Linked DNA regions of Caenorhabditis elegans. The protein of the gene in region 1 interacts with the protein of each later gene in a pairwise test. Each region holds a gene or a part of one and is shown in the gene's direction. Other genes may lie near its edges. The genes, in order: rcan-1, clec-28 and F44A2.7.

What was found.
Region 2: the proteins of rcan-1 (region 1) and clec-28 interact in a two-hybrid assay, tested with the Caenorhabditis elegans proteins (one large-scale study listed by BioGRID).
Region 3: the proteins of rcan-1 (region 1) and F44A2.7 interact in a two-hybrid assay, tested with the Caenorhabditis elegans proteins (one large-scale study listed by BioGRID).

What each region holds. Positions count from the first base shown.
Region 1 is NC_003281.10:5,681,698-5,686,087, reverse strand, and holds rcan-1 (Calcipressin-like protein), read left to right. Parts: upstream 1-1,989; 5' UTR 1,990-2,058; coding exon 2,059-2,178; intron 2,179-2,226; coding exon 2,227-2,339; intron 2,340-2,389; coding exon 2,390-2,650; intron 2,651-3,320; coding exon 3,321-3,450; 3' UTR 3,451-3,786; downstream 3,787-4,390. Other genes in the region: pst-2 (Adenosine 3'-phospho 5'-phosphosulfate transporter 2), read right to left, coding at 3,875-4,390. UniProt on the Caenorhabditis elegans protein: Inhibits tax-6/calcineurin A phosphatase activity and thereby negatively regulates calcineurin-mediated functions.
Region 2 is NC_003283.11:16,864,135-16,867,940, forward strand, and holds clec-28 (C-type lectin domain-containing protein), read left to right. Parts: upstream 1-1,569; 5' UTR 1,570-1,606; coding exon 1,607-1,802; intron 1,803-1,848; coding exon 1,849-2,025; intron 2,026-2,069; coding exon 2,070-2,114; intron 2,115-2,170; coding exon 2,171-2,319; intron 2,320-2,366; coding exon 2,367-2,511; intron 2,512-2,554; coding exon 2,555-2,683; intron 2,684-2,724; coding exon 2,725-3,092; 3' UTR 3,093-3,159; downstream 3,160-3,806. Other genes in the region: clec-33 (C-type lectin domain-containing protein), read right to left, coding at 3,544-3,806.
Region 3 is NC_003283.11:9,319,619-9,323,568, forward strand, and holds F44A2.7 (N-acetyltransferase domain-containing protein), read left to right. Parts: upstream 1-1,866; 5' UTR 1,867-1,884; coding exon 1,885-1,998; intron 1,999-2,187; coding exon 2,188-2,254; intron 2,255-2,483; coding exon 2,484-2,908; intron 2,909-2,951; coding exon 2,952-3,287; 3' UTR 3,288-3,311; downstream 3,312-3,950. Other genes in the region: kvs-3 (BTB domain-containing protein), read left to right, coding at 36-125, 980-1,263; ntl-2.2 (NOT2/NOT3/NOT5 C-terminal domain-containing protein), read left to right, coding at 3,766-3,950.

The sequences.
Region 1 (4,390 bases):
AAAACAGCAGATCGGATAGTACTTGTGATTTTGATTTTTTAGTTTTGAACGAAAAAATCAAATCAGCAGATCAAATAAACTATTTTAGATCAAGGACATTGATCAAATATTTGCGAAATACTTTTGTAAATTGACCGAATTACACAACAAAAATTGTTTACTAAATCAGTATTATTTTTTACGGTAACTTTAGTTTCGAAAATAACTCTTGATAAATCTTCCGGAACAGTACCTTAACTCCTGTTTTTTTTTCAAAAATCAAAACAAATTTCAAAAACATTTCATAGAATTCCAGAGCTACAAAACAGTGATAATGTGTCAAATTCAACACCTCCTTGTTTCGTTTCTCTCGTGTTTTTTTCTTCTTCTTTTACTGCTCCGCGAGCATCAAAATATCTGTGTAAATGCACGTGTTTTCCTACTTCTCTCACTCGTGGTTCATTTCATCTCCTATTTTTGTCATAAGGTTCTGTTTTTAGACATGTTTTTTCTTGAGTTTAGAATCGATTCTCTATCAATTTCAATTTCGCTCTAAAGATAAAAATTTGAATTTCTAGTTACAAAATGTTGTTGCAGTTGTCCATTTTTTAAAACGAAAGGCTTCTCCAAGGGAATCGTGGTCCACAAGTGAAGTGTGATTCCCAAAACTGAGCGTTTTGTACTCTTTTCGAACAATCTCCATACGTCTTATGTGAATGGATGTCATTCCTAAACCTCTGACCGATTTTCATTCCACTCGGCTGCTCGCAGAGTTCAGAGGCTTAACCTCTTGATCGTTTTTCTTTTTTTAGTCTTGCTGTTTCTCCCAGCTCGAATTGTATTCAAATTTCTGATGAAACTGCGTCAGCGCTCTGCTGCGCCTGGGGGAGATTATGGAAATTTTTGTGGGCTTTTTTTCGCTTTTTGAATTTTGGTGCGTCTAATATCAGAGTATTGTCTCATATTTTACGAATTTCTAGTCCTTGGTTTCTCGGAATTTTAAACCAATTTGGTGAATTTAAGAAAAGTTGCCGTATCTTTTCAAAAGCACACACTGATTTTCTAAAAATTTTGATCGTGGTAGGACCCTTTCTGCATCAAAAATAGATGTATCTTTGCAATTATAATTTCTGCCATTTCGTGTTCCATCCCTCCACGTCACACAGAAATAATCCAATGTTCAGTTTCACCGACCACGTGAACAAACATTGACATCATTTCTGTCCGCTTCCCGGTCCAGTTTTTGATGGTTTCCGTGCGGATCAGAAGAAGAGAACACATTGTATCTGAATATATATATATTGGCACGAGGCAGGCCACCCCATTCTGCACGAATCTTTTGTCGTTTATTGTAGGTCTCGCCACGATTCAAGTTATTTTTGAAGCTAATTATTAAGAGAATACCCTAAAAGGTTCATTTTTACAAGATTTCATAATAATTCTCAATTATTGAGAATAATTTTCGAAATGTTGAATCAAAAATTGGATTATTTCGTTATTATAAGAACTTTTCGTCTCTAGGAACTTGGAAGCATAAGAAAAACAGCAAATTTCCCGCCTCAAAAATTCCAAGAGTTTTTGTTCAAAATTCTATATTCAGAACGGGGGGACTAAAAGATTTGTTGTTTTTGTCGAAAAACCGAACAATAAATGTTTTTTCTTTTGCTTTAAACCACCCACACTCATGCACCATGAGTCATTTGTTCCAAAAATTTGAAATTCCCTTGATGGCCATGGCTACTGGTTTACTGGAAAATCTATCTTATTCAGTCTACGTCTCACTTTCCTTCTGCTTTTTTTATGGATATTTCTTCTCGAGACCACTGTTCTTTCTTCCTTTCTCTTGACCATCTTCATCATCACCGTCATCACGTTGTGTTTTCAGAGTTTTCAAGCTCCAGAATCCATGTGATTTTTTTTTCGTCTAAATTGTGCCCTCCGGCACCCGATTTCCGTTTTGAAACGCCCACACCATGAAAAGAAGATAGAAAAAATGAATCTTTTTTTCAGGCTTCAGTTCTTCTTTTTCTCCCAAACTCGGTGGTTGCTGAAATTTTTTCTATAAGTTAACAACAAAAAATGGTGGCTGATAACTCGGAAAAATCAACGAAATCCGTTGCCAATGGATCATTGATCAGCACTGTTTCCAGTAAAGATGATCTTCCAAATGCAATTATTGTGACTCAAGTACCAGAAGATGTAAGCTTTTGATTTCAAATTGGCTCTACTTTTAACTTTTATTTATAGGTATTCGATAATAAACAAGACAAGGCAAACTTCTCATCTCTATTCACACAAATCGAGAAAGACATTCATTTCGATTTCCTGCGCAGCTTCCGACGAGTTCGAGTAATTTTCAGGTGAGTCAGAGGAAACCGCCAATTTTCAATAACTTTTGTTTTGTTTCCAGCTCCCCCGAAAACGCTACAGCCGCCAAACTTATCGTTCAAGGATTCTCTTTTAAAGGGCACGAGTTGAAAGCTTTTTTTGCACAAAGGATCTACATGAGTGCCAATTCCCAAATGCTTTCCCCCCCACCACTCGAAAAACAGTTTTTAATTTCACCACCATGTTCTCCACCAGTCGGATGGGAGCAGACTAAAGATATGCCACCGGTTGTATGCAATTTTGATTTAATGGCCAGACTTGCGTCATTTGCTATCGATGAAAAGTAAGTTTATATGACGTTTATCAAAAGTTGAAAAATGTGAAAAAAGGGGTCTATAAGTTTGGAGTTTTGCAAGCCTGGAATACTGTTTCTACTTTGTATCACACAGCGCTTATTACGGGAACACCACATTTTGAGAATGCGTTTTGCGCAACATATGCAAAATATCTCGTAGCGAAAACTACAGTATTTTTTTTTAAATGACTACTGTAGCACTTGTGTCGATTTACGAGCTCGATTTTTGAAATTAATTCCTTTTCGAATAGTGTGTCGTATAATAACGTCGTATTCTTATTTTGCTCAATTTTAATATTCTTTCATTAAATCAATGATTTTAGTTAGTTTTAAAATCGAGCCAGTAAATCGACACAAGCACTATAGTAGTCATTTAAAGAATTACTGTAGTTTTCGCTACGAGATATTTTGAATAGTTGTGCAAAACGCATTCCCAAAATTATATGTTCTTGTAATAGTTGCTACATGCTCAATTTTTTTATTATTATTCATATCTCTGTAAAGTTTGACATCTGAAGCAACCACTATGACGTAGATCTTGGCGAGACCCACTCAGAAGAAGCGTGTGCCTTTAAACTGAAGTGCCAGAATTTCGCGAAAGTACAATAAACTAAATATTGAAATATTTTAATCAATTTTTTTCAAATCCAAAATTCAGATATGAAGTACACAATGGAGACGAGCTGACACCAGCAATCATTGTTCATCCATGCGAGACCCCAATTGACGTACCATCAGCAATTGAAATGCCACGAACTCCACGCCCTTCATCTCCATGTGAACAGTAATTATCTTGGATATCCCTTTCCTTCTCATTCTTCTTGTTATTCATTTTTCTCTTCCAGCTTTACAATCATCCTCATTCTATTTGTGTTGCACTCCTTCTTCTCCAATTTTTTCATTTTTTCCTTGTTTCAACTTCAATCCGCAGAGCTTATTCTGCCGCGGGTAGACGTGTCTCTTCCTAATCCAACAATCCACTTATTTTTGCTGATATTTTGTTTTTGTAAATATATCCCAAAAATTGTTTACCACCCAATACTTACTATATATTCCTTTTTATGGAATGAATCTTCAAAATGAAAAAAAAAGAAAATAATGCAAATAAATTATTTGTATTTAAAAGAACTGACAATATCACATGAAAAGAAGGAAAAAGCAAGTATAATATACCCGAGCCCTGATAAAAAGTTATTCGTTAATATTTAAGTTCTAAACCGTCATTGGATCCTTCCTAGCAACAGATACATCATGATATCCCATTGCTCTCGCCACGAATCTTCTTATCATATTATCCCAAGACGTCTTGTTCTTGCTGTACAAATTCAAATAAATTGCCAGCATCACCACAGATCCCGCATAAACATATTCGATGGTGAACGGCTTCGAGAAGAGCATGAACGACAGAATTATAGTCAGTGCCTTGCGAAGAGTTGTCACAGTAACCGCAACAAGTGCTCCAAACACTTTGATATGAGTGAGCACAACGTTGACACCGAGATATCCAAGACATGAGAGGATCAGTGCGTAGCCGAATGTTTTCCACGAGTTCTCCAGGAAAAATGGAATTGCACTGAAGACTTCACCGGAGAGCACGACAAATGCGAAAATGAACACTGAGCCAATTCCATATGAGTAGAGAACCATTTCATTACTAGATCCACCGTACTTCTTCATATTCTTTTCTTGAATATTTCCAATTACAGCATCTGCCAGAAGAGCTCCACA
Region 2 (3,806 bases), on another chromosome or scaffold:
TAAGCCGGCGGCGGGTTTTTTTCGCTTTTTGCGTGCTGTAATTTTTATTTTTCCGTTTTCTGTTCTAAATTTTATTTCTTTTTTTAAGTGTTCAGATAGTTTTTAAATGGGAATAAACATGGATATTTCTGGGTAAAAACTTTGAAAACTGAGAGAATCTGGATGCTGAGTTTTTTTTTCTATTTCTGAAGTTCAGACTACGTCGGGTTCTGAAAATAACATGTGCAATATGAAACATTCAAAATTTAAAGGTTTATAAATTCAACACACAATTCCTGCCGGCCGTTTACAAAGAAACCATGAGGTTTCGGTGCATTCACCAAACTGTTCATGGTAAGGCTTCAAGGTTCGACTTATGCCCCTTTTAATGTTGTTAATTGAAGATGATAATAGTGATCACAATTACAACAATAATTGTTACGTACGCTACGATAAGTCGTCCACCATTGCTGATGCTCAGAAGTTCTGCAAAACAAAGCACGGCGGCAACCTCGTTTCAATCACTTCGGCCAATGAAAATCGTTACATTCAATCAATATACATTGGCGGTGGATATATTACACTTGGCGCAGTGGTTCCAAACTACAACGTCATATATTGGATGGACGGACCACCAGCGACATATAATATTCAACATTATACGAATGGAACTTGTCTGTTTTTGAATCTTTCATGGGAAGGCAGTGGTGATGACTGGCACACTGTCGAATGCGCCGATAAATCATGGTTTCTGTGTAAACGGCCTATAGGAATTGACTATTGGTAGAGATTGACTTTAGATAATGAATATTAACTGAAAACTGAACCATTTTGAATTTTCTGAATATCAATCTCATATATCGAATACTCATGAAAACAATAAATCATGAAATTAATAAGCGTATTTTTTTGAAATGAATACTTAATTAATAGTACGAGTGGAAGAGCACATTGATAAGAGAACACGATGGCATGGATTACTTACTGCTTATGAGTCAAATACGGCACATGAGCTCGGCCTGAAGGGTGGGTCCAAATTTCCGGAAATTGCTGAAATTTTTGGATTGCCTCACACTTTCGATAAAAAAGGAGATTCCCAATCTAAATTGATGTACTCGGAACAAAATATGTACATTGTATTCACGGTTGTTGTAGTTAGAGTCAATAGGTAATTTTGAATAAATTAATATACCGTATTTCCTCTATTAGTAAGTCATGCAAAACTAATTTTCGAACATGTTTTTTCTCATGTACGATGATATTATTTCGATTAATGAAATGATCGGAAGAGTTGATAAGAATATTAGTTCAATTGAAGGTGAAGTGGGGCCAGTGGAGAGAATGTTGACAATTACTCATATAGTGCAAAAATTCCTGTCACCTTAAAGTTTTTTAAAGTTTTTTTTTTTTTGAAATTACATCCAAACGGTGACAAAAAAAGACACGAATAAATTTTCACGGAAGCGATGATACACGAAGCAACCACTCGGTTCCAAAGAAATTAATCTTCTGTTTAAAGCACAACGTCAAGGATTATATTAAGAGAATTAACTTTTCTTATCACCACTCCTTCCACAAAGACAATTATTCATTTAATTTTGAGTTTTTGTTTGCAAAAAGTGTAATAATGTCCGATATTGACGAGATTCAAGAGCTTCAAGAACCATCTCAACCAAAAACTCAACCTTATTCCGAAAAATTTAAACTTTTCATGACAAATCATTGGAAAAATATATTGATTGGAGGATTAGCTGAAATCATAATAATCGTTTTTGCTTTTATGTTGACCTTTATTTTGGCGAAACAACCAGCATGTGAAACAGGTATTTAAATAGTTAAACTACAATAATATTTTTGCTTGTTTGTTAGGTATAGTAACGACTTCTATATTCCACACTAGTACTCTACCCAGCACATTGACATATGCCTCTTCTTCTTATTCTACAAAACCTGACAAGAGTTCTATTGCAACAAGTACTACCTTAAAACCGAAAACTTTGCCTGTTACGACAACATCAAATTCACTCTCAACACATACAAAACTTGGTGAGAGATACATAAATATTCCATTATTAATAAAATGAATTCAGACACAACATCAATTTCCGCAACTTTCGCTACTATGCCCACCCCGGGTAAGATTTTGGGTTTTATCAGTTACTCTAAAAAGACTTTACAAATTATTTTCCAGTTTCGGGAAATCTCACTTGCGCTTCTGGTTTTACTTACGTCGGCAACAAGTGCTGGAAGTTGGTCACTGTTCAGAAGAATAGAGCAGATGCCGACCAGGCTTGCTTCAGTCTAGGTGGATCCACACTTTTCTCGATCAGAAACGACCAGGTACGGAACACTCACAAGAATTTCCGTTTTTTAAATATTTTGAACAGGATAATCAAGCTGTGCTGGAATTTTTGAAAGATCAGCACGTTGAGAACCTTTGGACCGGATTAAACTGCGTCGGGATAAACCCGTTTACGTGTACCTGGGATGTCAAAAGCGGAACCACCTCCGCCTACAATAACTTTGCCGATGGTAGTGCTCAGAATTGTTGGAATATTCACAGAATGATTTTTAGGTTATCCGAATAACATGGCTGGAGGTTGCATTTATTACAAGACTACTGGAACGCAAGCCGGGCAATGGTCAAGTGGATCGTGTAATGAGATTATGAGTTTTGTGTGCGAGCTACCAGCAACCATTTACGGTGAGAATTAGAGAAATTACAAATTACACGTTTGATTTCAGATAGCACCTGCAAATACAACTACAACAACTATTGTTACACCCCATACGATCAGCTGCAAATCTCCAGCGATGCGCAGAGCATCTGCGCATCATCGGGTTCCAATTTGGCCACAATTCATTCTGCAAATGAAAACCGCTTTTTCATGGGCATCTTTCCTTCGTTTTCAATGATTGCACTTGGCGGAGTTGCTTTGTCAGGCGACAAGGTCATATGGTATGATGGAACACCTTCAACTTACACAAATATAAGAACGCTTACACGAGGGAACTGTATTCTGCTCTCAAATGATGTCGGACGCTGGGATGGTTACAAATGCATGATTGACAGAGCAAAGTTCATTTGCAAACGAAGAATTATAGGAAAATAATTAATATATTTGTTCAATAAATGTTTCACACAATACCCTATCATCTTGAAAAAAGTAGATAAATTTTTTAGGGGTTTCCCAAATAATAAATATATTAATTTATTCAAAATTAATTGTTAATTTTAACAACACAACAACCGTTTATTTTTTGCCGGATGCACCAATTTAGATTGGCGAGTGCGGCAATCCAAAAATTTTTTTGAAATATCCGGAAATTCGGACCCACCCTCGGTTCAGACCGAGGTCATGTGCCGTATTTGACTCATAAGCTGTAGTAAGTAATCCATGCCATCGTGTTCTCTTATCAATGTGCTCTTTCACTCGTACTATTAATTAAGTATTCATTTCAAAAAAATAAGCTTATTAATTTCATGATTTATTGTGATAATCATCATAGTCAGAAAATTCAAAATGGTTCAGTTTTAAGTTAATATTCGTTATCGAAAACCAATCACTGTGCATAATCAATTCCAATGGGCCATTTACACAGAAACCATGATTTATCAGTGCATTCGACAGTTTCCCAGAAATCACCACTGCCTCCCCATGAAAAATTCAAAAACAGACAAGTTCCATTCGTATAATATAGAATATTATTATATGTCGCTGGTGATCCATCCATCCAATATATGACGTTGTAGTTTGGAACCACTGCACCCAGTGGAATATATCCACTCACGTAGTATAAAGTTTGAACATAACGATTTTCATTGG
Region 3 (3,950 bases), on another chromosome or scaffold:
AAATGAATGAAATGTTGATGCTTGAAATTTAACAGGAATCATGCTGTTCTCAACTGCAATTTATTTCTTCGAGCGAGATGAGCCCAACTCCAAGTTCTACAGTATTCCAGCAGCCTGCTGGTGGTGTAAGTTCTTTGAAAACTTCAAACAATTAATGGAGCGATGTTATTCGAAATTTCTAAATTATGGAAAACATACTTGGTGTTTCGTTGAATTTTAAAACTGATAAAAAGGTTGAAGTCTGAAACCTTTACTGTTATTTTGCAAAAGATAAGATATTATGATAATCATAGTGTGAAATGATATATTTAGTATGATAGACTGTTTTACTTGATTTTGAAATTACGTCGGATGGGCAACTCATTTCAGAAACATCAAAAATAAATTTTAAGGATTTAGGAAAAATGACTATAGTTGAATATGAATATACAACTCCTATTTTAGATTATGCCAAACATGTAGTTTAAGTGTTGATGTTATTTTCTTTTTTTTTTAGTTGCAAAATTCAATTTTAAAAATTTTATAGGTAAATATTTATCTTTTGATTATTTGTATCTAAACATGATATAGATCCGAAAATGCAAAATTGCAGTACATTTCACAAAAATGCCGAATTTCTCAAAATTTTTGGTAACTTACCAAAAGTTTGACTGAAATTGTTTTATGTGAATTTTTTAATGGGATTTTGATTATGGCTGCAGAGTACAATGAAATTTTGCTAGAATAATGCAAATTTCAAAAGTTTATGAAGTGTTCGGTTAGTGCTTTCATCTAGATTTAACCTCTGAAAGCCGTGCCAATACGTGGATTTGTGAGTTTGACTTCACAATCGTTTTGTTGTATACTTCATTTGAAAAAACTGTAGTGACTTCCATCTTGCAAAAACACGTGGTGCCACGGATTCCAGAAGTTAGACCAAGATGCGGTACCATGACTACTCGTGGGCTTCCTATTCTTAAACTAATATAATTATTTTCAGGTGTCATAACAATGACCACAGTTGGCTATGGTGATTTGGTGCCTATAACTGCTGGAGGAAAAGTGGTTGCTGCTTTGGCCTCAGTGTGTGGAATCATTGTGCTCGCATTCCCAATTTCAATGATAATCGACAAATTTGCTGAATCGACAGGAGGGTGGAGCGGTGGAGATGGAGACGAAGAACAAGGGCACATGATTGTGCATCGGACTGTACACCCATTGAATAATGGAGCACCGGCTGCCCAACCAGTGAAAAAGAAGAGCAAACGATATGTTGGATTCTGATTGTTAATATTATTATTTATCTTATCAATCATTTTTCTCCTTCTTGTTTTTAATTTACCCCTTTTATTTGTAAATATACACCAAACGGGTTCGATTTTGTCCCAGTTTTTTGTCTCCAAAAATGTTCCTTATTTCTTTCATTAATTGTTTAGGTTTGTCAGAGAATTTGAATTTTAGGACATTTCATTAGTGCTGAAATTGTGCGAATTATTCTAAAATTCAAAGCAAATTGAACCCTTTTCTGATATTCCTATTATTGGTGTCAAAAACTTGCCACTCTAGAATCTCCATAGATCTCTTCTCATTTTCTGGTTAGGTACCTTTGGGTTAATGTCCACTCGATTTCCGATTTCTTCAATTTCTGAACTCCATCGTTTTCACATTTTTCAAACAATAATAAATTATCTGTACCGACCCCCGTACCGTTTCTTCATCCTTTTTTACTGATAAAAACGATCATACTAAACTTGTAATTAATTTTTTTTTTTTTTTTTTTCATCAGACTAAAAGTCGCGAAAAACGATAAGGAGACCCTTCCATTTCGCTTCCCAGTTTTGCACCGACGTTGTTCTCAACATGTACGCAAAGTTTTCTTACGAATTGAGTTTCAGATAAATAAATATGACAGAAGTTGATATAATTGACGATGAATTCATTTTGACCTACAATCCACCAAATGATGTATTCAAAGAGTTTGTGCATCTAGTATCTACTACTGAAGGATGGGCATTTCAGGTATGAACTTAGATGTCTTTATAACTTGCCTAACTTATTTCACCCATCAGTTCCAAATTTTTATTATCACCTCAATCTTTTCAAAAACTTTGTTAACCGACAAAATATTTTATTTTCGTTCACTATAATTTGGACAGTATGCAAGGAAAATCACAAAATAATCTTTAATCACTTTATGTGATCTTTTAGGAAAATGACTACGACATATGGAAAAATAATTATTCCAAGCACTGGATGGTCATGATTCAACAAAAAGGTAATTTATCCAACTTCTACGATCAAAAAAAACTGACTGCTCGCTTTTTAAAATTTAATGCACAATCTTAGTGTTGTCAGCTTTAGCGTTTAGCACTCGCGCCACTATCTCTTCCTTTTCCCATAACTATGCTCCTACGTGTCAGCCTAGGTGCCAAGCTCACAGCTGACTGCTTACATGCATACCTACCAACCTATTGCAAGATTAAAAAAATTAATTATTTTTATAGGAACCGACCGGTACGTAGCTTCAGTATCCCTAGCTAGAAGTGATCTTCAGGATGGGACACCTCTATTTACGGTTGCATTTTTCTATTGCCTTGTCGATTTCCGTAATCGATCATTTGGAAAGTATCTTTTTGACAAAATACAATCAATCTATGGAGATCATAATTGCTTTCTTTTTGGAGTTGGAACAATGTGGCAGTGGTATGAAAAACGCTATGGGTTCAAAGAGTTGAGCCCATACTTTCATTGCTCAGCAGTAATACAAATTGAAAATTTGAAAATTCCATCAGGAATCAAAGAAGTTGATGGGGTAACTGTGGAAGATTTGAAGTACGATAGTGTATCGGAATACGATAAAGGAATTTGTAAGATGAGCAGAACTAAAGTTATTAACACTTGGTTAATGGCTTGTGGAGTACATTCAAAAGTATGTATTCCCTTCTTTAATTCTTCAAATGTTTTAATTTTAGATGGCTGTAGATTCAAACGGCAACTGTGTGGGTTTCGGAGCTATCCGTGAAGTATCGCTCAATCGTCTCACCATCTCACCTCTATATTCCGATTGCCCAGAAATCGCTGCTATGATCCTCAAATCAATTTTAAACTCTTTCGAATTCTCAACGTTTAAAAGTCTCTCTACGATATATCCTTCCACAAATTTAGCTATTCCATTCGTTTTAACCCCATTCTGTGACGGTGTTTTTGTAACAAAAGAGTTCTGTAGAAGTCAATTCACTCAAAAAATCATCAAAACTGATGAGAAGAAGGTTTTTGGTATTCGTCATTGTGCGCATGGTTATGTTTGATTTGAAATAAATATTTTGTGAATATATAATTTTAAATAAGGCATTTTTAATCTGCCTTCTTGCTATTCATGAATTATACTTTAATTTCAGAAACGATATAAAATTAGCTCGGCAGTTATGATGTTTCGTCTGTAATACGCGGGATACCGTATCCCACGCAAACTTGCGGCAAACAGAACATTCATTCATTGCGCGCCACATTTTTTTAGGATTCATAAAAGTTTAAACTTCAAAAGGTTGACGTTTTACTTTTCTTTTTAATTATTTTCTTTAAATATTCATTGTTTCTATTTCAGAATTTCACAAGAAGACTAACTGATACCTCTTGTCCAGTAATTTCTTGTAAAATCTGGGTTAGCAAAGAACCCTTTGGCGCACAGGTAAATTAATAAATGATGCCCACTTTTAAATACTATATTTTAATTTCAGACCACAGATATTAGAAGTACCTCCCACGGGACGAGTGACACACTCGAAAATGGTCCGCCGTGGAAGTCGAGCGACGGGATCAGCGCCGGCGAAAAACACTTCGTCGGCTTTGTCTTCTTCGGGCTCCACCCACAACGAAACACAGTGGAAAAATTTACGTCCTCAAACAGCGACCGGTGCTGACACAAATTTATCGAAAAATACAAAAAGCTCCGATAGTGCCAACAGTAGCCC